3 linked regions of the Saccharomyces cerevisiae S288C genome follow. The main gene of each other region encodes a partner of the protein of the gene in region 2 in a complex. Each region holds a gene or a part of one and is shown on either strand. Other genes may lie near its edges. The genes, in order: HIT1, RSA1 and SNU13. A codon is read from its position in the direction of its gene.

What was found.
Region 1: the proteins of RSA1 (region 2) and HIT1 are in contact, whole or in part, in an NMR structure (PDB 2MJF), measured with the Saccharomyces cerevisiae proteins. Residues at the interface, in NP_015131.1 of Saccharomyces cerevisiae: Glu320 (codon at 5,712), Asn321 (codon at 5,715), Ser322 (codon at 5,718), Gln323 (codon at 5,721), Leu324 (codon at 5,724), Leu325 (codon at 5,727), Asp326 (codon at 5,730), Phe327 (codon at 5,733), Ile328 (codon at 5,736), Arg329 (codon at 5,739), Glu330 (codon at 5,742), Leu331 (codon at 5,745), Gly332 (codon at 5,748), Asp333 (codon at 5,751), Val334 (codon at 5,754), Gly335 (codon at 5,757), Leu336 (codon at 5,760), Leu337 (codon at 5,763), Glu338 (codon at 5,766), Tyr339 (codon at 5,769), Glu340 (codon at 5,772), Leu341 (codon at 5,775), Glu345 (codon at 5,787), Leu349 (codon at 5,799), Phe350 (codon at 5,802); in NP_012589.1 of Saccharomyces cerevisiae: Asn71 (codon at 6,438), Lys72 (codon at 6,441), Thr73 (codon at 6,444), Leu74 (codon at 6,447), Lys75 (codon at 6,450), Thr76 (codon at 6,453), Phe79 (codon at 6,462), Tyr83 (codon at 6,474), Leu89 (codon at 6,492), Leu93 (codon at 6,504), Asn96 (codon at 6,513), Thr97 (codon at 6,516), Lys99 (codon at 6,522), Phe100 (codon at 6,525), His101 (codon at 6,528), Leu102 (codon at 6,531), Ala103 (codon at 6,534), Val105 (codon at 6,540), Tyr106 (codon at 6,543), Leu109 (codon at 6,552), Asp124 (codon at 6,597), Lys127 (codon at 6,606), Glu128 (codon at 6,609), Ala130 (codon at 6,615), Val131 (codon at 6,618), Leu134 (codon at 6,627), Asn135 (codon at 6,630), Arg138 (codon at 6,639), Phe151 (codon at 6,678), Cys152 (codon at 6,681).
Region 3: the proteins of RSA1 (region 2) and SNU13 are in contact, whole or in part, in a crystal structure (PDB 4NUT), measured with the Saccharomyces cerevisiae proteins. Residues at the interface, in NP_015131.1 of Saccharomyces cerevisiae: Val242 (codon at 5,478), Trp245 (codon at 5,487), Arg246 (codon at 5,490), Arg249 (codon at 5,499), Lys250 (codon at 5,502), Met252 (codon at 5,508), Trp253 (codon at 5,511), Leu254 (codon at 5,514), Lys256 (codon at 5,520), Ile257 (codon at 5,523), Ser258 (codon at 5,526), Asn259 (codon at 5,529), Asn260 (codon at 5,532), Lys261 (codon at 5,535), His264 (codon at 5,544); in NP_010888.1 of Saccharomyces cerevisiae: Pro6 (codon at 4,592), Lys7 (codon at 4,589), Phe9 (codon at 4,583), Pro10 (codon at 4,580), Leu65 (codon at 4,415), Pro68 (codon at 4,406), Leu69 (codon at 4,403), Cys71 (codon at 4,397), Glu72 (codon at 4,394), Asp73 (codon at 4,391), Asn75 (codon at 4,385), Val76 (codon at 4,382), Pro77 (codon at 4,379), Tyr78 (codon at 4,376), Tyr115 (codon at 4,265), Lys118 (codon at 4,256), Asp119 (codon at 4,253), Ile121 (codon at 4,247), Glu122 (codon at 4,244), Leu125 (codon at 4,235).

What each region holds. Positions count from the first base shown.
Region 1 is NC_001142.9:532,545-541,013, forward strand, and holds HIT1 (Hit1p), read left to right. Parts: upstream 1-6,227; coding exon 6,228-6,722; downstream 6,723-8,469. Other genes in the region: UV-damaged DNA-binding protein RAD7, read left to right, coding at 1-1,215; BFA1 (Bfa1p), read left to right, coding at 1,483-3,207; KCH1 (Kch1p), read left to right, coding at 3,512-5,005.
Region 2 is NC_001148.4:176,649-183,066, forward strand, and holds RSA1 (Rsa1p), read left to right. Parts: upstream 1-4,754; coding exon 4,755-5,900; downstream 5,901-6,418. Other genes in the region: APL5 (Apl5p), read left to right, coding at 1-2,373; DDC1 (Ddc1p), read left to right, coding at 2,629-4,467; pheromone-regulated protein PRM3, read right to left, coding at 6,007-6,408. UniProt on the Saccharomyces cerevisiae protein: Involved in a late nucleoplasmic step of 60S ribosomal subunit assembly.
Region 3 is NC_001137.3:98,271-106,549, reverse strand, and holds SNU13 (RNA binding protein SNU13), read right to left. Parts: upstream 4,608-8,279; coding exon 4,227-4,607; downstream 1-4,226. Other genes in the region: YEL025C (uncharacterized protein), read left to right, coding at 403-3,969; VMA3 (H(+)-transporting V0 sector ATPase subunit c), read right to left, coding at 5,299-5,781; YEL028W (uncharacterized protein), read right to left, coding at 7,421-7,882. UniProt on the Saccharomyces cerevisiae protein: Common component of the spliceosome and rRNA processing machinery. In association with the spliceosomal U4/U6.U5 tri-snRNP particle, required for splicing of pre-mRNA.

The sequences.
Region 1 (8,469 bases), on a different chromosome or scaffold from region 2:
GTCAACAAAGTATCCAGCTTACAAAGTCTTTGTATTACGAAAATTAGTGAAAATATATCCAAGTGGCAAAAAGAGGCTGATGAATCATCAAAGTTGGTATTTAACAAATTGAGAGATGTCCTTGGTGGCGTATCAACCGCTAATTTGAATAATTTGGCAAAAGCACTATCGAAGAATAGGGCCCTGAATGATCATACTCTGCAACTTTTCTTGAAGACAGATCTAAAAAGGTTAACTTTCAGCGATTGTTCTAAAATTTCATTTGATGGTTACAAAACGCTAGCCATTTTTTCGCCACACCTAACCGAATTATCCCTACAAATGTGTGGGCAGTTGAACCATGAATCATTGCTTTACATTGCTGAAAAGCTTCCGAACTTGAAATCACTGAATTTAGATGGACCATTTCTGATCAACGAGGACACATGGGAGAAGTTCTTTGTAATAATGAAAGGTAGATTAGAAGAGTTCCACATTTCTAATACGCACCGCTTCACCGACAAATCATTATCTAATTTATTGATCAACTGCGGTTCTACCTTGGTATCCTTAGGGTTATCCAGACTAGATTCTATATCAAATTACGCTTTATTACCGCAGTACCTAGTCAACGACGAATTTCACAGTCTCTGTATTGAATATCCATTCAATGAAGAGGATGTTAACGATGAGATCATCATAAATCTGCTAGGTCAAATCGGGCGCACGTTACGTAAATTGGTTTTGAATGGCTGTATTGACTTGACAGATTCAATGATAATCAATGGTCTGACTGCATTCATTCCTGAGAAATGTCCATTGGAGGTATTGAGCTTGGAAGAATCAGATCAGATCACTACAGATTCACTGTCGTACTTTTTCAGCAAAGTAGAACTGAATAATTTGATTGAATGCAGCTTTAGAAGATGTCTACAATTGGGCGATATGGCAATTATAGAGCTATTGCTTAACGGAGCAAGAGATAGTCTGAGAAGCTTAAATCTCAATTCATTAAAAGAGCTAACTAAGGAGGCATTTGTGGCGTTAGCCTGTCCTAATCTGACGTATCTTGATCTTGGTTTTGTACGTTGTGTTGATGACTCGGTGATTCAAATGTTGGGTGAGCAAAATCCGAATTTAACTGTAATTGATGTTTTCGGAGACAATTTGGTTACTGAAAAGGCCACAATGAGGCCTGGACTTACGTTGATAGGGAGACAGAGTGACAGTATATAATAAAATAAAGACATATAAAACGTGTATTAGATAGAAAACGGAAAATTGACTAATGTTTTTATTCCTATTATACTCAGATCGTCAAATGTTGCCTTTATTTTCTATTGAAGGGATTTTATGGCATCTCGCGAATAATAAACAAACAATAATAGTAAAAAAAAAAGTGTAAACTTATGTATTCAGCGCAGATAAAAGGAAAAAAACGAGAAGTTTGACGTAAAGAAAAAAGTTCGAAAACTTTTGTAGCAGTTGAAAGTTTTGTATGCTATGTCAATTAGGCCTCTCACGTTAAACGGTTTAGATGAGCCAGAAACCTCTTTTGAAGAACTGAATACAACTCTACCTCGCTTTCAATCCCATGAAACATTAACTTTGGAAGAAAACGTGCCACCATTGAGTACATCAACTTATATACCGCCTCCATCCTCGGTAGGTACTTCTGACACTGGCACGGTATTTTCCAATAGTACCAGCGCGTTTTGGTCTAATAAGCAAGCAGACGATGATCAGGACATGGAGGTAGACCAGGATGATGAATTTCTAAATGACTTCCAGGAATTCCAAAATAAAAAGGATGATTTTGACGATGCTATTAAAACAAATTTTCATTTGAGAAATGGATGTCGAACTGGCCCTTTCAAAAACGACATTTTCGCAGAAGAGTTTGATAGAAAACTGAGTTTGGAAGATAAACCAAGGCTAAAGCAACCTAGATCAATGATGGAATTGAAACCAAAAAGAAAACTATCAAATAGCGTCACTTCAAGAAACTTAAGGTCTGGTAATTCTGTAAGATTTAAGAAATCTATGCCTAACTTAGCTTTAGTTAATCCAGCTATCAGAGAAGAAGAAGAGGACGAAGAACGAGAAAGAGAAGATCAACGAGAGTTTAATTACAAGATTGATAACGATACGCAGGACACAATTTTGGCGAAATTCAGTTCAGATGATGAAGGTGACTTTCTGACAGGATTTGAAGAATTAGAGGGTGAAGCAATTGATGAAACGATTTCTTCGAACGATAAAGAAAGTGCCGACCATCCGCGTTTCTTAAAGAAGTCATCCTCATCTTTGCCATTAAAAATATCACCTGCACAATATGATATAGTAAAGCATGACGAATTATTAACTCCAGGTCTTCATAGGCGACAACGAGATTGGAATACCCAGCAGGAACTGGACTCTTTTAAAGAAAAACGATCAGTAAGACACTGTTCTAATCAAAATGTACAACTCAATGGTCCAGCTAAAATCAAAACAATAAAACAGCAAATTGATCATAATACTCCAATGAAGAAAGGTTCTATGATATATAACCCGAAAACTATGAAGTGGGAAGGAAATGAAAACGTCTTAAGCAAATTTAGTGATGTAGACACGGCAAACAGGAAAGCTTTATTGATAAAAAACAAGCTACAACGAGATGCAGATTCTAAGAAGCAAAAATATTCTGATCTACAGCATGCAAGAGCCACTTCGAGAAATCAAAAGGTCATCGGGAACATGATTTTAGATGAACAAAATTTAAGATGGGTTAGTGTTTCAGAGGAAGAAGCAGACCCTTTTGCAGGCATTCCTGAGATAAACTTACCACCAGTTGGCAAAAGTATGAAAAAACGTAGCTCCTCACCATTTTTGCGTTCCAAAAGCCAAGTTAATACGCCATTTGTTTCAAATGACAATGATGGCGTTTATCAAAGTACGGCTGCTCAAGCAAGACTCCGTAAATACCATTCAATGAGGACACTTAACGGTACAACAGAAACTCCAGAAATAAGCTCTACTTTCCATTTGAGTTCAAGAGCATTGGAAAAATTTTACCACGAGGAGAACAGGTGGTGTAAAAAGTTAGCCTCATGGTTTATACCCCGAGATGAGACCATTATCAGTGTTGATGAGGAAACAATCATGGATGAAAGTACGGTCAATAGCAAGAGAAAATCCTATATGTATGAAATCAGGAACATGGTAATCAATTCGACAAAAGATTAGCCCTTTAGCCTTCTTATAACTGTTTCTTTACCGTTATCTTGAGTACATTCATTTCTCTTACATTCCAAAATTAGATAGAACCTTGAATCGTGTCAACTTTTCGCCGACATTTCGCGTCTGACAGAAAAAGAAATGTTGCAGAAAATTCGAATAGATGTTTCAAATGAAAATAGACCATGAGGGACACATTAACATTTCAAACAAAAGAGCCCTTGATGATTATTAAAACAGATCTTTATGGTTTGTTTAGCAAACACTTTGGTAATTTCATGAATATTTGACTAGCAGGAACAGAAAATCAAAAATGTTTAACCATGATTGGAAGTACTCCATTAATTCTAAGACTTTCGCCGATTTAAACATTGAATTATTTCGAAACCACAAGTTCAAAACTGTTTTAAATTACATAATAGGTGTAGTTGGGTGGAATGGATTAAAACTCGCCCTTTTTGTTTCTGACATTTACACATGTATCAAATTGCTGGCATTCAACTCCTGGTCAAACAACATCATCAAACCATACTTACCCTTTAAAATATCCAAATGGTTGTTTAGCGGTTGTATTTTAGCATCGATTGTGCTATTGATATGGGAGGCTATAGCGGGAATGAGGATTTACAAAACGGGAAATATCTCTTTGACTTATGTCAACAATTTTTCCAGAAACCTAAATTCAGTGCTCAATTATTCCAAGTTTTGTGTTTATAATATGATCGAACGAAAGGGTTTTCGACAGAAAATGACATTTTTTACTTTTTTTCAACTGAAAGATTGTATTAGATTAATCTTCACGGATACCCCAAGGCAAGTTATTAATGGTCTTACGCTGTGGTCAGTTCTCGTAACAGTAAATAAAAACGAGGATCTAGGCGATCTGGAATCATTTACCGGTTTGATCAACAAAATAAAGAACATTGGCCAGACCAATCATGAAGAAGCAGTGATATTGTCGCTGATGCTATTTTCCTTTATAATCTGGGCATTATTTGTCTTCAAGTTTCTGCTTGCTGTCATTTGCTCGATTTTTGTTTATTATAAAATAATCAATGATCAGGAATATAGCGGGTTGCGTGAGTACATTTGTGTTACCGTCAGCGAAAATGTTGATGAACTTGTTGAAAGACAAAGGAAAAAGGAAAATGATGACACGATTTATAAGACAGGTCTTCTCGAATCTCAGACTTTTGACGATTTTAAAGAAGTTGAAAATAAAATTGAAACATCTTTTAATGATACGTCATATGCTTCTAATAATGATTCTATGATTGAGCTAATAGAGAGAAGACCCGAATACAAAAGTCAGGATGTATGTGGGCCCATTCCCACAATGAAGAAAACGGAAACAATGGAATCGTTCGTTGACAATGGCAATCCACAATATACCACTAGATTCTCTGCGATTCTAGATTCACCATATATCAACAGCTATGAAAGTAATGATATAAAGAAAGCAAAAATACAAAGCAGAAGCGTAAATACTCCAAAATATGAGGATTTGTCTTCTTCTGACATTTTCAACAAAATACACTCTGCTGGACAATTAAAATCTACAACTTCTATGGAGTTTCACGGGCCATTAGATTCTATGCCAAATACAACAAACAACATCCGTAATTTTAATAGCAACAGTAGTAGACCTAGACCACCTCCTTTACAGACAAAAAGTTCGATTAATTCAAAAGCTGACTCGAATGATAATGGAAGGATTTATACACCAATGAAAGCGTACTTCAGGGAGCCTGATCTTCCGAGGAAGGGTTTGCTGGAAGATGAAGATCGTACATATAATTATACTTAATAGGCTGGCAAAAGCCCTTTGCATATTTCATGAATTAGATAGACGTGATTAGAAACAGCCGTTAGTATGTTTCTGATAAAAATAATACTTTTTTTGTAACACTATTTTCATATATTGGATTGATACCGGTTATAGCACAAACATAACAGCCATGAAAGTTTCTTTGAAAACCCCTTTTAACATTTGCTTGTAAGAGATAGGTTAATTTTTTATAGTTGCTGAGATTCCATTGTTGGTAAAGACTTAATATTAGGTATACAGAATATACTAGGAGTTCTCTCTGGGTATGTAGGAATCCACAAAAGGGTGTCACTAGTTCAACATAATAACATCTTTTTTTTATTCCTTCTTTGATATTTTGTCATATTATCCTATTATTTTATCAATCCTTGCATTTCAGCTTCCAATAGATTTGATATTTGTTTCTCAATATTATGTCATCTTCATACACAGTATGTGATAATATACTAGTAACATGAATACTACTAAATGAGTACTACCTTAGGGGTTCATTACAGCAGCTTAAGCGAAAGTAGAAAATGAGGCGGATATTTGTTGGAATAAAAATCAACTATCATCTACTAACTAGTATTTACGTTACTAGTATATTATCATATACGGTGTTAGAAGATGACGCAAATGATGAGAAATAGTCATCTAAATTAGTGGAAGCTGAAACGCAAGGATTGATAATGTAATAGGATCAATGAATATTAACATATAAAATGATGATAATAATATTTATAGAATTGTGTAGAATTGCAGATTCCCTTTTATGGATTCCTAAATCCTCGAGGAGAACTTCTAGTATATCTACATACCTAATATTATTGCCTTATTAAAAATGGAATCCCAACAATTACATCAAAATCCACATTCTCTACAATATTGATTTCCATCGTGTAAGTTTTCTGCACGAAGTTTATTCATTCAATTTGAAGTGCTTCGTAATAATATTACTATGCAACTTAGGTACCTCATATTTCTTAGAGTTCAACCAAGTTGGTTCCGTTGGCGTAATGGTAACGCGTCTCCCTCCTAAGGAGAAGACTGCGGGTTCGAGTCCCGTACGGAACGTTGATTATTTTTTTTTTTTCGTTTCTTTATAGAAAAAATTCAGACGATATTACCTTGCGATGAGATAATCTTACCGCAGAAAGAGTGCCACAGTGGTAATAACTAGTTGAAGGTTCATATTATATAAAAAACTCTAAGAATAAAAATGGTATCTAGTGCAGTTAAATGTGGCATATGTCGCGGAGTTGATGGTAAATATAAATGTCCTAAATGTGGCGTACGATATTGCTCCTTGAAATGCTATAAAGATGCTGCAAAGCATGTTCATAAGGAAAGCGAACAACCCAGGGCTGGTACAGAAGCTAATGTGGAAGTTGTTAATAACGATAAGATCATAAACAGTTCACTCGCAATGAATAAAACATTAAAGACGAAGGCATTCGATGATATATATCAAAATAGCGCAGAATTGCAAGAGCTGTTGAAATACAACACGGTGAAGTTCCATTTGGCAAAGGTTTATAGAATTTTGTCCAGTACTGTTAACGATGGAAGTTCTGGAAAAATGAACAGCGATCTACAAAAAGAACTAGCTGTAAATTATTTGAATACATTACGATATGGTGGTATACATTATAATGAAGCAATTGAGGAATTTTGCCAGATTTTATTAGATAAATTAAATGCGGTGAAGAAATAAGAATTATCGTTGTTAGCATGATTTTTAAGATTGAGCATTTTATTCATTTTTAACCATATAATAGTGAAGGTGAGGACTAATAACAAAGTACTTGTTGAAAGGGTCGGGTTGCTTTTAGGTTTTTTCTTCTCGTTAAGGATTTCCCACTTGTCTGGCAAGGCGTCAAGCAGACTTGGAAAATAATGATATTATGTCAGAATTTTTGTGTGAGGCGCTTCTATTGCAAGTTTGTGACACCTTATAATAAAAGTGAACCATGTATTTACATATGATTAGGGAAAGTTCCACCATCATCTTATGATCTTCATGGCCGTTTTGGTCTTCTTTTTAACTTGAAGTCCAACTTGGCGACTGTACATATATACATATATATAGCAATAAGTATAACAAGGCAACAAATCAGGTCCCATTATTTAATTTGAAGTCATCTACTGCCCCATAAGAACCTCTATATTATCAGTAGATTCTTTCTTTTAGGGAAATCGAACCTCGATATTGTAAGAGAAACCCGCGCCACTCCTAAAAAGGTATTTTGAAGGAGAGGATGATTTGGAGCAACATTTGGTACACTTTATCCTCAGTTTTTCGCTAACTACCTCGCAACTTGTTGTTGTGGATGAAATTTTTGATATTAATTTCAATAAATAAAATATATGCAAATATCATTATAATTTGTCAAGTGCGGGAAATAGACTATGCAGTGATTTAGTGTGCAAGTTTGCCCACTTCACATTCATACCAAATATTTCTTCCCACTCATTTTTATCGTATTAGCACTACATACGTGACTTTTTAGCTCAGCTTTCGGACTGGATAGCTTTACTGACTTACTTTCTACAAGCGATATCATTCGTCACAGTACTCCAAAGAAGTCTGGGCATTTAATTTTCTTCTTTATCAAGTCCGCCATTATGAAGGAATGTATTGGGTAATAGTTGACATACCGATGTTCTGCTGGTAGCATCGATGAACGAAAATAGGTAACGGCTTGCCGCTGAAGATATTGGAAATGAGACAGATCATTCTAGGGTAAAATGCGCTGTAGAGCTAGCGTCAATTGCGATTTTCGAACACTGGCTGCAGGTATTTCTGTTTTCTCGGCTTTCATTATAGTAATGTGAAGCTACTAGGAGAATCACGAAACATCTTTTTAGTAGGATGAGAACACCACGCTCTCCTAACTGGAAGTAATTTTTGGTATGCTTAGAGATCTGTTCCTCTCTTATGACTTCTTTTTCGCCTACTATAAACTTAATATCAACATATTTAGTTAGTTTTTTCAGAGCAATACGTGTTTATTTTTTCACAACTTCGCATGGCATTATGTATCATTGCAGCGTAAATTTTTACATTTAGTAATATCTAATAACATATACACAAAAAAGGGACAGATTTTTGAATTAAATAAACCAAGCGTAAATCAGTATTGCTCTTACCGCAGTAGGGGGAGTTATCTACTCCTGCTTAACGTAGAGAAACAATAGTAAAAGTTATGCTTGTGTTGGAATAAAAATCAACTATCGGCTGGCAACTAATAGGGACACTACCAATATATTATCATATACGGTGTTAGACGATGACATAAGATACGAGGAACTGTCATCGAAGTTAGAGGAAGCTGAAATGCAAGGATTGATAATGTAATAGGATAATGAAACATATAAAACGGAATGAGGAATAATCGTAATATTAGTATATAGAGATAAAGATTCCATTTTGAGGATTCCTATATCCTCGAGGAGAACTT
Region 2 (6,418 bases):
GTTGGCATTGCTTTAAGTGGTCTTTCCACTATAATTACACCCTCATTAGCAAGAGATATAGCTGATGATTTGTTCACTATGCTAAACAGCACAAGACCGTACATAAGAAAGAAGGCCATTACCGCACTATTTAAAGTTTTTCTGCAATATCCAGAGGCTTTGAGAGATAATTTTGATAAGTTTGTTTCAAAGCTAGACGATGATGATATATCTGTGGTTTCTGCCGCTGTCAGTGTTATTTGCGAGCTATCAAAAAAAAACCCCCAACCATTCATCCAGCTTTCACCTTTATTATACGAGATATTAGTTACCATTGACAATAACTGGATAATCATTAGATTATTGAAGTTATTCACCAACTTATCACAAGTGGAACCGAAATTGAGAGCCAAGTTATTGCCGAAAATTTTAGAACTGATGGAGAGTACTGTTGCAACTTCTGTGATCTATGAATCTGTCAACTGTATTGTCAAGGGGAATATGCTAGAAGAAGATGATTTTGAAACAGCAATGGCATGCCTGGAAAGATTGCACACATTTTGTGATTCTCAGGATCCAAATTTGAGATATATTAGCTGCATATTGTTTTACAAGATCGGCAAAATCAATACTGATTTTATTTCTCGGTTCGACCAACTGATTATACGCTTACTCTCCGATGTCGACGTTTCTATAAGATCAAAAGCAATTGAATTGGTTGAAGGTATTGTTGATGAGGATAACTTAAAGGCAATTGTCCAAACATTGATGAAGCAATTTGTAGATGAAGATGTGGTTATCCTACAAACTGGAAGCATCGTATACGAAAAATCAAAGAGAATTCCCATAATAATTCCAGAAAATTACAAGATAAAAATGGTGAACGTCATTATATCGATTTGTTCAGCTGACAACTATTCCAGTGTTAACGACTTTGAATGGTACAATGCAGTAATAATGGACTTGGCGATGCTCTGTCAAGACATATCTGATAAAAGCCTTGGATCAAAAATTGGTGAACAGTTTAGGAATTTGATGATAAAAGTTCCTTCAATGAGAGAAGTAACCATTGCTAATATTATAAAGCTTATTTCAAATGACAATATTAACAAACAGTTGCCTACCGTATTGAGAGAATGCATTTGGTGTCTCGGAGAATTTTCTACCCTAGTTGAAAATGGTAACGACTTAATAAAAATCATGACTGAGAATATCAGTTATTATTCTCATAGTGTACAAGAAGTTTTAATTTTAGCACTTGTTAAAGTATTTAGTAATTGGTGTAATAACTTTCAGGAGGATAAACGCTTTGAAATTAAAATGGTGTTAAAAGAGCTAATTGAATTTTTTGAAAATTTATCTTATTCGAGTACATTCGAAGTCCAGGAAAGAAGCGTAGAAGTTTTAGAATTTTTAAGACTAAGTTTGGAGGCTTTAGAGGAGGATACGGAAGGTCTACCAATGCTACTGAGCGAAGTCCTGCCTAGTTTTTTTAACGCCTATGAACTCGCACCAATTGCGCGTGGGACTCAATTGAAGTTAGCAGTAGATGAGAATCTTGATCTAGAAACTCCATTTTTGACAAAGGAGGCAGCTGATGAACTCTTAGATGAACAAAAAAGTGACGCCATCAGTGATTTAATGTCTGATATCTCAATGGACGAGCAAGTTGAACTAAAATTCGTTGATGATTCTGATACTTCGTATGAAGAAAAGGAAAAATTGGATGATTTTGAAAATCCATTTGAGATTGAGAGAGAAAAGGAACGGATGTCAAATCCTTATTATCTAGGTGAAGAAGACGAAGAAAGAACTAAGAACTCTAAAGATTTGTTGGACTTGAATGAGGAGGAAAGTAGTGATAAAAAGCCAGAAACTATTAGATTAAATAGAACCGATAATTCGTTGAATTCTCTAAGTTTATCTACAACTGAAATCAGCAGAAAGAAGAAGAAGGGAAAGAAGAAAAATAGGGTTCAAGTCTTATCCGATGAACCTGTTATCGAAGCCGCTCCCAAAAGGAAAGATGCATTCCAGAAACCCCATGATAATCATTCAACTCAAAATCCTTTGAAAAAGGACAAGATTAATCTGAGAATGCACTCTCAACTTGAAAATTTTGATTTTTCCAATTTTGGGCAATCGAGTAACGCAGGAAGAGGATCGCAGGAAGAGGGCAACCTTAGAAAGGAAGACGAGTTAGAATTAAGTCGTTTAGAGGCCAATCTTATTGTAAAAGATGAAAAGGATAATTTAAGTGATACTGAAGAAGTTATAGTTATAAAAAAGAAGAAGAAAGGGAAAAAGTCAAAGTCAAAAAACAAACTAAAAACGAAAGCAAAAAATTCTCCAGAACCAAATGAATTTCTTCGAGACCAAAGCACTGACATTTAACGATAAAAAAATCGAAGTCGTGAATTCTCAATGACAGCGATTACGTACGTAAACTATAATTAATTTAAGTATTTTATTCTGCATAGTATATTATTGCGGTGCACTCAATTTGCCGAAAGAGACGGCATATTTAATAATGACGCGAATGAATCAAAGGCCGCCAAAGGTAATCATAGACCAGAGATGATTTGCAAAATTATTTGACATACTATTGCTAGTGTAACAATAACACAGCATAACTTTGCTTAGACATATATGTCATTTAAGGCAACTATCACCGAGTCGGGGAAGCAGAATATCTGGTTTCGTGCGATATATGTGTTATCTACAATTCAGGATGATATCAAGATTACAGTGACAACAAATGAGTTAATTGCTTGGTCAATGAACGAGACAGATACTACTCTTTGTCAGGTTAGGTTTCAGAAAAGCTTTTTTGAGGAGTATGAGTTTAAACCACATGAGATTGTATTTGGAGAAAATGGGGTTCAAGTTATAGAAGATACGTACGGCAATAGTCATAAGTTATACTCCTTCCGTGTTAATGGAAGACACCTAACAACTATATCAAGAAAGCCGGATGGTGATGGCATCAAATCATTCACAATTGCGGTAAACAACACTTCTACCTGTCCTGAATCACTTGCAAATAGATTGATTGTGGTGATTGAAATGGATTCGTTAATAGTCAAAGAATACTGTCCCCAATTCCAGCCAATAAAATACGATCCCATAATAATCAACCTTAAGTACAAAAGGAGGTTTTTGGATGTTTTTGGAACTGCTGCCTCCGATCGGAATCCACAGGAGCCCTTGGACCCTAAGCTATTGGACGTTTTTACAAATACAGAGCGTGAGCTAACATCAGCCTTATTTAACGAAGAAGTGGAATCAGACATACGTAAAAGGAATCAGTTAACGGCTGCTGATGAGATTAATTACATTTGTTGTAATTCAACTTTATTGAAGAATTTTTTAGACAACTGCAATGTTAATGTAACCGATGAAGTAAAATTGGAAATTAACGTACATAGGCTAAGCATAACTGCATTCACCAAGGCCGTCTACGGCAAAAATAACGACCTTTTAAGAAATGCGTTAAGCATGAGTAACACTATCAGTACGCTCGATCTTGAGCATTATTGCTTATTTACAACAATCGAAGATGAAAAACAAGATAAGCGATCACATAGTAAGCGTAGAGAGCATATGAAAAGTATAATATTCAAATTGAAGGACTTCAAAAACTTCATAACGATAGGTCCATCCTGGAAGACTACCCAGGACGGAAATGATAATATAAGTTTATGGTTTTGCCACCCAGGGGACCCTATTCTTATGCAAATGCAAAAACCGGGCGTAAAATTAGAATTGGTTGAAGTTACTGACAGTAACATTAACGATGATATTTTAGAAGGAAAATTCATAAAAACAGCAATCTCTGGCTCCAAAGAAGAGGCCGGACTGAAAGACAACAAAGAAAGCTGCGAAAGTCCATTAAAAAGCAAAACTGCTTTAAAGAGAGAAAACCTGCCACACTCTGTGGCTGGAACTCGAAACAGTCCTTTGAAAGTGTCGTATCTGACCCCTGATAATGGAAGCACAGTTGCTAAGACCTATAGAAATAACACGGCAAGAAAATTATTCGTGGAAGAACAAAGCCAAAGTACGAATTACGAACAAGATAAGCGGTTCCGGCAGGCTAGTTCAGTTCATATGAACATGAATCGGGAACAAAGTTTTGACATTGGTACGACTCATGAAGTGGCCTGTCCACGTAATGAGAGCAATTCTTTAAAAAGATCCATAGCAGATATTTGTAATGAAACTGAAGACCCCACCCAACAATCTACATTTGCAAAAAGGGCAGACACCACTGTGACATGGGGAAAAGCGTTACCAGCTGCAGATGATGAGGTTTCATGCAGCAATATCGATAGAAAAGGAATGCTCAAGAAAGAAAAATTGAAGCATATGCAAGGTCTGTTGAATTCCCAGAATGACACAAGTAATCACAAGAAACAGGACAATAAAGAGATGGAAGATGGGCTGGGTCTAACACAAGTAGAAAAGCCAAGGGGTATATTTGACTAAAACCATAATGCAAAATCAGTATAAAGGCGTGTAAATATTAGATGAAGTAGCAATTATCATGATAATATCGATCGCTGTTTTTTTTTTTTTTTCTGTCTCAATTTGGTGAGCGTGCGGCTGATGGTCCATCACGGTCGGGGAACAAACTAAAATTTTCAATAGCATAATATCTCTATATTGCATAGCTTTTTACTTAATAGGAACTTAAAAATTTCATTGATGCTATTATATTTAACTCATAAGTCAATCTCTTTTTCCATTTTGATTAGCTTATTGCGACATGGACTATGAATTATAATAACTTTGAAAATTCGAAGGGTGATGGACATTCTAGGCTTCCCAAACCTACATACTCCGGAACGCTATCAGATGGCTATGATGAATCGAAAATTAAAAGGCAAAAAACAGACTCTGCTTTTAATGCAGCTTACTCACCTCATATGTATCCGAACTCTCCGTATTATGAAGGTTCATGGAATACCGGTTATACTCCTCAACTTCATCATGTAGCCCCTCATAATCAATATTTCCATCCAATACAACCGTCCACTCAGTACAATTATACGAGTCCTCCCAATTATACAGAAAATTACATACCGCCAGTTCATCAGAATATATCTTATGCACCAGCGCTTAATTTACAGAAGTGGCCATCATCATATTGTGAAAACACTCAAGCCTTAAAGAATGATAAAGATTACCAAACATCAATTAGTTATGAAGATGTTGCAATACCGACCGTAAAGGAAATACAATTGATTGAGAAAAACAGAGGGAAAGATACGTTTATGAATGAAATAAGTCCAGTACCATCAAGCAAGGATCAAGCATCTGCGGAGCCTACAGAAATCCCAAGAAAGGATCCCGAGCTGGCAAATTCTAATGCCGAAGATGATCATAATAACTTAGGGCTAGAAGATGATGATCGTGATGAGCAGTTAGAATCAGAGGGGTTGGGTAAGGTGGTTTTGGTTCCTGGAACCTCCATAGCATTGATTACTGATGAAGATGTTAAAAAGTGGAGAGAAGAAAGAAAAAAAATGTGGCTACTGAAAATATCCAATAACAAACAGAAACATATGCAAGAAATGGGCATAAAGGAAGATGAACTGAAGAGCCAACCTAGCATTTTCAAAGAGTCAAGGAAAGAAAAGCAATTTATACAGAGTATTCAAAATCAAGTGCAGAGAGGAAATCCGAAGATTGACTTGAACTTGAAATTGATACAGCGAGAATTCGCAAACGAAAACTCCCAACTTTTGGACTTTATAAGAGAATTGGGAGATGTAGGATTACTTGAATATGAGCTATCTCAACAAGAAAAAGATGTACTTTTTGGGAGCTCTGAAGATAATAATAAAAATCATTACAAACCAAATTACAAAAACAGGAAACCTAATCTGAGTAGAGCCAACTTTACTAGAAATAAGTAATAGAATAGCAAATATTGATATACATGGAAGAGTACATGCAAAGGTGCGTAAAAAAAAATAAGTCAGATAAAACTAATTACTGTTTAGAAATCATGAGTATATGAAACTAATTTTGAAGAGCTTTAACTGCTAGGTTACTTAAAACAGTAGTTACAGCAGCACCAAGGAACGAACCGAAAATGGCACCTTGGTAAAATGAACCCTTATTCTCTCTCTGTACTTTACTTTCAGAAGCGTCTTTTTTCTTACTTTTCGTTCGTGATTTTGTGGAAGATGTTGTCGTTTTGTGCTTCCTGACTCTACCAGGCGACACAGCCTTCTTAATGTGTTGTTCATTATTAACTAATGACTTTTTATTAAGCGGTCCACCGTTTTTGGCTTTATTTATAACGAACCCATCAGCAGAGTTTGAACTTGCATCTGTCAGTTTATGCACTCTAAGTTTTTCTTGGTCGTTGTTTTTCTTCAGTGTAATCAATGCAGCGTTGTCTTCTTTCATTGCTGTCATTTTTTGGAGA
Region 3 (8,279 bases), on a different chromosome or scaffold from region 2:
ATATGGATGAGACAGGGATAGACGGGCATGTACGGAGTTTTTCGACTTGATCAGTGCAATCCACTGATTATCGTTTTATGTAGGTATTTTCTTGAGTTACAAAATTTTAGGGAAAGTATGGATACAACCAGAGAGCCGATGTGGTGTTTTTTTTGGTTTTTAGTACATGCAGTACGCTTCTTTTTCTATTTCCTGTATACTTCCTTTAAGCGTATTCGTCGTTATAGGTTCTATTTGCTTTCAACTGAACGCGCTTGCCTGAACGCCTAAAGCGGAAAGAAATACATGACTGAAAAACAGACATTCTGGTCGCAACTCAGCGAAAGGGAGGGTAGAAAAATATATTGTGTTATAATGTCAGCGTTAGCGCATTGCATATTGCACTAGCCATTGCCACGTAAAATGGCAAGACAAGATGAAACGGACTGCAAAAAATTGGATAGCAATTCGGCCTTTTTACCTTTATGCATAACATCTTATAGATCAAAAGATGAGGCTGAGAAGCTGGTAAGTTGTCTTCATCACGAAGGAAGTTACTTTTTATGTTTTAGCTATGGATTGTATACCGGAACGTCCAACGAATTGAAAGCGAAGGTTGAGTTCGCTTTAGATGGACCGTTCGTTGTTAACTACGCAACTGTACCGATGTTCATGTCAGCTTCCTTCTGTCACCTGCTAATGTTTAACGACGGTTCCATTAAGGGATTCAAATGCGAAAATAACAAATTTGAAATTATCTACGACTCTAATGTGGCTCCGAAACTGGATACTATTTCTTTATTAACTTCCAGCTGGTTAAATGCTTCCTTTGAGGGTGTTTTATACACTTGCAATAAAAACATATCATATGATAGTGATTTGCATACGTTATGTACGACAATTTACTCCTTTGACTTCAGAGAAGGAATAGTCGAAAGATTTTATGCCACCGATGGCGAAGAAATTATCTCCTTTGATTTTATTAGCAGGGAGGATTTGCTTGACGACGCCACATGCACAGGTAAATCACACGTTTATTTTCTTTGCCTACTTAAGAGTTGCTATAGTGAAAACCTGTTTTTAAAGGAATACAATCTTGCTGGAAAGCATGGAAGTAGGAAATTTGATTTAAACGAGTACCGCCAATACAATCTTTTGCCGATATGTGATAATGAATTTTGTTATATGAAGGTAGTTTGCGGCCATACCATTGTAGTGTTGACTACTAACTACACTCAAATAATAAATATAAAAGCAAGTGGGCTTACAAACGGGGCTTTTTTCAATAATAAAGGTCTCCCAAATGTAGAAAACTACCAATTTCTAAAAGATTCTTATGATGTGATATATGAAAGATCAGTCATTCTCTTGACAATTTCTGACGTGTATGCTAACAAATACACTGCCAAGATACACACTAGGTCGTTACATAGAGACCACGTCCTGAAAGAACTACAATGGACAAAAGAAAGAGTGTTCAAGCCTCCTAAACATGATCTATGCGATGTTATTTTGCAGCTCCCACGTGAAAAGTATATAGCGGTGACAAGAATAAATGGAGTAAATTTTATATCGAAAGATCATCGAGGTTCAAAATTAGAAAAGGTGAAAAGCGGTCCCGCTTATACAAACAAAGTTTACCTGGCATCACAAGTTATTGGAAACAAGGGGACAGATATTGATTCACTGCTTTTGGGTGGAAGTTTTAACTCAAGAAGAGGATTTTTAGAAAAGAAAATTTTGGTATATGACAAAACCCTGTTCAAGTTAGTGACTTCCTCCAAAGCGCTAGTAGAGAATGTAACTGATTTTTGGGTTACAGATTTAGCACTTAATGGTGGTGACGAATTTGCATATGAATCAGGTGGGTTGATTTATAAGAACGGAATATTTTTAATGGATGAGCCTTATGATTACGGTCTATTTGTTTCTAGGACGGGAAAAGTTTTGAAAGCCGGTATGGATGGTTCTACCGGAGAATTTAGGCAGGTCGATTTCTTGCAGTCGAACCACAACTCTTCCACCATGTTTTGTTATCCCGTACAGAACTCCAAGCTCAGGATTTCGATACTTGAGGCAAAATCTGGTTTTCTACGTAAAAAAGAAGAATTTTTTATCCATGGGCTCAATTCTAAAGAGAGTATTGTGAGCTGTTTCTCAGATGGTGCCGAGAAATACCTTTTTGTCATTTACTTGGACGGTGTGTTTTCGGTATGGAATGCCAATCAAAAGAAAGTGGCTACATCACATCCAGACTATTCTTTCATAGCCTATGATCAATTGATAAAAATATCTTGGCTAAGCAAAAAGCATAAACACGACTCGATTTATGTCATCGCATCATCATACACTGGCTGCGTAAGAGTCTACAAATCAGAATCAAATTTTTTGAGAGTGGATTTAGAGATTCATTCGTTATACGATCAGAAATTAGAACTGTTGGATACGATTCCTTCCTTACCTTTGGTTTTCCTTTACAACGATAAGGAAATAATTTTGTTAAATCTTCAAAACATGTCTTATGGTTGCATACAGTTAGGCTTAGTTCCAAGACGAATGAGAATTCGACCCGGTAAAGCACTGTTCTCTCTTTGTGTTTTAGATTATGATTCTCGAATAAGCATCTTTGAGTTTGGTAGCACGTTTTACCGTGAAGGTTTCACTAAGCAGATGACTTCATTAAAACCTCAATTAGAAAATCATATCTTTTACCTCCCTAGCATTCCCGTAGAGCTCTATACTGTTCCAAATAACCTCAATCAGGCCGTGGTGTGTTTGGTCGATAGCAATAGTAGGCAGTATAAGTTGATGCTATTCAATTATGCTTCAATGAAGGCAGTTTCCACATTCAGTTTCTCGGATGAAAAGTATTTACATGCCGTTGTGAAGCCACTGTGGCCAGAACAAAACTCAATCTACTTATCACAGAGACCCTTTTATGGTAATAAGTTTGTTGTATGCTTAGGAGTTGGTGAAAAACGTACAAAATTCTGGCTGTTTGAAATTAGAAACAATAACATTACCCAATTGTACGCGAATTATCTCGAAGATTGTATATTCTCGGTGTTCATATACTATGAGTGCAACTTGGTTTTATTTTCTGGTGATAGTGGCATAGCAGCATATAAAATAAACATGCTAAAAGAGGGCGCGGAAATTTTAGAGGCCTATTCCTTCCCAGCACTTTCATCGATTAACCATATAGGTCTTCCAGCTTATATGAGTGGTGATTATCTGGTTCAATTTGAGATCTTGAGAGATTTTTTGAGAACCCGCTTTCCAATTAGGACGTCCATAGTATATCCATCAGAGTACCCTGAATGTCCCTACTTGGGTTTTAAGCGGTTGGGAAGCATTACACAAGTGGCGACTAAAATAATTCCTAAGAAGCTAAGAGAACCTAAAAACGATTGTTTAGCGAGTGATAAGAACTATCTATTAGGTCGATTATCAGACCTTTCTTGTGCAACGTTGAAATATTCCAATAGATCTTATGTTGCCACCATTGGTATTGATAATACCTTGACAATATACGAAGATTCTAAATTATCAGTTGATAAGGGCGGGTTGGCTATGCCATACCTCAAAATTCGGTTACCTAATAAGATAATCTCACTGGCGGCCATCCCAGATGGATTTCAAAACCTTCAAATATGTCCAAATTTCAATAGTCAAAGGTTGGAAGGCGTCATACCTCTATTTTTACTTTGCGGTACTGAGGGCCAAATTTATATAATATCGGAATTCATTGGTGAGCTGTGGATGAGAACGTTGCATGATTACAAAAAGATCAAGCTCGAATGTAAAAGAGCTTTTCGAAGGTCTGAGAAAAGCATGCGAAATGTTACTAAACAATATTCCGTGAGTAAAGAGACTGGAATAAATGAAAGCGGCTTTGATGAGCTAGCTAGAAATTCAAAGAGAAGACATATAGATCATTCACCATACAAGACCATAGATTTTTTCGATCCTGTAAAACTAAAAAGGTGACAATAAATCTCCTACGAACGAATAGGTGCCATGAGATCTTGCACCTTTTTGTTATGCCTAAATTACTACAGCTCAATTGATAATACATGTTTGTGCATTTACAGATGCACTCGAGTAGGTTATTCAATGAAGATATGACATATATCATACCACTAACAAAACAGCACTATTAGCGTCTGCACTAGTGGAAAGCAAAAAACTTTTTTATAGTATATAGATGGTACAAAAACTATGTTGATAGATATAATCCAATCTACTTAAATTAATAAAGTTTCAATCTTGTCCTTGACAGCGTAGATTTGGGTCTTGATAGCAGAAGCATCGTTGGTGGTAATAGAAGCAGCAATAACTGGTCTAGAAACACCACAAGCTCTACCTAAAGCAACTCTAGATGGAACAAAGACATATGGAACATTCTTGTCTTCACATAGTAATGGTAAATGCAATAGGATTTCAATAGGTTCACAGTCAGCAGCCATAATGATGAATTCGGAGATACCACGGTTCAAAGTTTTGGTAGCTTCGTTGGCACCTTTCTTCAATTGTCTCAAGTTAGCAGCCTGTTGAACGACATCCAAGATTTGTTGGGTTAATGCAGCATCGGCTAATGGGAAAGCCTTTGGGTTTGGGGCAGACATTTTTAATATAGTTTTTATAGTATGAAATCTGGTTTATTCAAGTTCCTTGCAATAATCAGTATGGTCCTGGTATAGAAAGCTCGCTCGAATGATGATTTAAATTAAGATTTGAAAGTAGGACTTGAACACTAAGAGGAATAAGCACTATTAACCAGAATAATCAGTTTTAAAGTGAAAAATTTTCTAACTCATCTCATTCCAGCATTAGAAAAAAAAATTTTCTGAGAAAAAGGAAAAATGAAAAGAAAAAGAAAATAGAAATGAAAAATTTTTCTATATGCTGAATTTATTACCCGGATAAAACCGATAAGAAAAAGAAACGATACAATTGTCTACTTTAACAATAGAAGTTGATAAGGTTGGGCCTCTTTTAAGAGTACAGGTATAGTGATCTCATCGTACCCATTGTGTAGCTTAAAACGCATAATGCTCTTTGTTGCTCCTTGATATTCAAATTTTCTATTTTATACACATTAAAAATTAAGATATACATATTTAGCGTGTAATACTCTTTTAAACAATAATAATGGTACTAATAAAAAGGAAGCTTGAAATGAGGTAGTTTGGATATGAAGTAAGAATAGGGGCTATAAACAATCTCTAAGATGAAAAATTTTGATAGTTTTCATAGTTTCTCACAAAAAGATTCTTTTGTATACTCTATTCCTGCTTTAGTGATTCAGAAGCTGCCTTAACAGACAACATCTTGAGTAGCCCTGGAGTTCAACAACAAAGCAACAATCAAACCGTATAGACCCAAAACTTCAGCAAAAATCAAAATCAAAATCATACCGACGAATAATCTTGGTTGTTGAGAGGAACCTCTAACACCTGCATCACCGACAATACCAATAGCGAAACCAGCAGCTAGACCACTCAAACCGACTGATAGACCGGCACCCAATTGGATGAAACCGGTGTACAAAGCTTGCTTTTGACCCAACGAATAACAAACCAAAACGGAAACAACTAAACCGTAAATGGCAATGATACCAGCCATAATAACAGGAACAATGTTCTTGAATAATAGGTCTGGTCTCAACACACAAGTGGCACAGATACCAACACCAGACTTAGCAGTACCGTAAGCAGCACCTAATGAGGTGAAGATAATTGCAGAGGCACAACCAATGGCACCAAAGAAAGGGGCGTAGACAGGACACAATTCAGTCATTATATGTATATGTTTCTTTTGTTATTCTAATTGATTAGTCTTTTTGAGAAAAGCAATAAACACGATCTTCTCTTTCTTTTAAAAAGATTTTTATAAACAAGTTTTTAATCAGAACGAGTGTATAATTGTACAAAACTATCAAGGGTCAGTCAATCACTTAACCACTTTTTCTGTTTTTTTTTTTTTTTTTTTTTTAATGCGTTTCTTTTCCGGGTAATATCCCTTTATACGATTCAAATTTTTAGCAATGGAATAGGCCGTAGACGGCCGTAGACGGCCTATTTCATTGCTGATAAAGAATTCAGTTCCTCTATCTTTCCTAAGTTGAATATTGTGCAATAATAAATTCATTATTAAAGAAGATGTACAATTAATAATAAATAATTGCTGGGTGAATTTGTAAAAAAAGAAAACTGTAATATAGAATATATAAAATAAGTTGATAGAAATACCTAACTAAAACAATAACAATTATTAATAATAACGCAGAAGTTAAAGCTTATAGTCTATAGCTTAAATGATTGCGATCTGTGTTATTGTTGCGGGCAAAAAGAAATGAAAAATTAGCGCCGCTCGGTTTCGATCCGAGGACATCAGGGTTATGAGCCCTGCGCGCTTCCACTGCGCCACGGCGCTTAGCCAACTTGAAAGAACTGGATGTTAACTTTATTTATTAACACAATAACAAATTCTTCTATCTCTATCTCTCCATGTCGCTTATATTGAGGTCCGCCAACATATCACTTAATCTGTTACTTGTAGTGGCATGTTTATAATTACTATTTCTTAGCTCATTTCAGGTATTTTGCGGTTAATTATAAAAGTAACCGCATGTGTTCCACAGTTGTTGTCAGTTGATACTATTTTAGGTGGTTTATGCTGTTTCAACCACGACAACTTCATCCTCTCACTGGACATTTTTGAACACTAATTGAAGTTTCCAATACCACTCGTCTTTTAGGCAAAGGTATTTTTCAAATATAGTTATGAAGGCGTATATGATGGCATTTGGCTCATTTGGGCAGTACGACATTTGTTCATTTCCGGTAGAATCAATACCTACGTGTTAGTTTACCTTCCGATGGTGATTTCTCCCATGGATATTGCAGGAGTAACAGTCGGTTATGATTCACTAACTAACAGTTATATTTTGCTGGGATATTATTATATACGGCGTTAGAAGACATGAAATGATGAGAAGCAGTCATTAAATTTAGTGGAAGCCGAAATGTAAGGATTGATAACGCAGTAGGATAATGAACAATAAAACATAAAATGAAAGGAGAAGTGACGCTTTTAGAGCAGTAAATTATAACGTAGAGGACGAAGAAATGTGTGCATGGTTATGTAGATTGTTGATTCTCTTTTGCGAACTCCTGTGACCTAGTGGAGAATTTTAGCAACTCTGTAGGCCTAATAATGTTGTCTTCAATCAAAATGGGACTTGACAATTACTCCAATATCCATCTAACCTATATCGTTATCCTGTCATCATCTATGATATCGCTAGACGTTAGTAGTAAATTGCTTTCTTTACTGCGCATCGTCGAGATATTTGCACCATTCATGCATACATCTTTGTGTATAAAAGATGTTAATCAGAATTATCATACATGTACATAACGTAATACCTGAGTACTTACTGAAACTCGACAATTGGATGTTGGAAGGCATTGAGTTCTTGCGTTGTTAGCCGTTTGTTGTTCCTAAAGTGAGGTAAGTCCGTATGGTTGACGGTGGCATCGCCAAGTTTTGCCATATAACTAATCCCGCTAGGAAAATAGTCGTATTTGTAATGAGTGAAGTAGAAACTATGCCCGTAGTTACGATAACAGTATGACACTGTCTTCGTCATAGCGGTAGTGTTAGCTTCCGTACGATTGCTAAATATGATAAAAGTTCCAACAGTATCTGTAGCCGCTATTTTGTTGCTTGGAAAACCAAGCACTTGTAAGTACTTTAACACATTACGAGCATCAGTTAGAGTGGTGTTATCACGTAATGAGGGCAAATTTGCACCATTATGAAGTAGTGTGCCCGCACTTGCGAGCTCGACGATCATGACAAGAAAAAATAGAAGGCTTGTTATTGTTATTTTCATTTTTTATTTGGATCTGATATAACTACGATGCAATTTGACAGTGAAGAAAAGTTATGCTTCATCCAATCCTAAGCGCGATAGTGGGAATGCACCCTTTAACATGGCCTTATTAAGTTGTCTAAAATCTATGCATTGGCGGTAACTACCAATCATATTTTTCATCATATAGATAATTGGTAGATGTTGGGTTGACCTGGCCCATATTACATAGATATGAAGAAGCAAGCTCGCAAAACAGACAATTAAGTATCTATATCACATGTATTCATTGTAAGGAAAAAAGTGAAAAAAAGATGAGGGTAGAGAAAATGAAAATAAGCCTCTTGTGACGGAATATTACTATTGAAAAATGCACACGTAGTTGGAATTAGCAGTGGAGGAAATTTACCTCCCAACA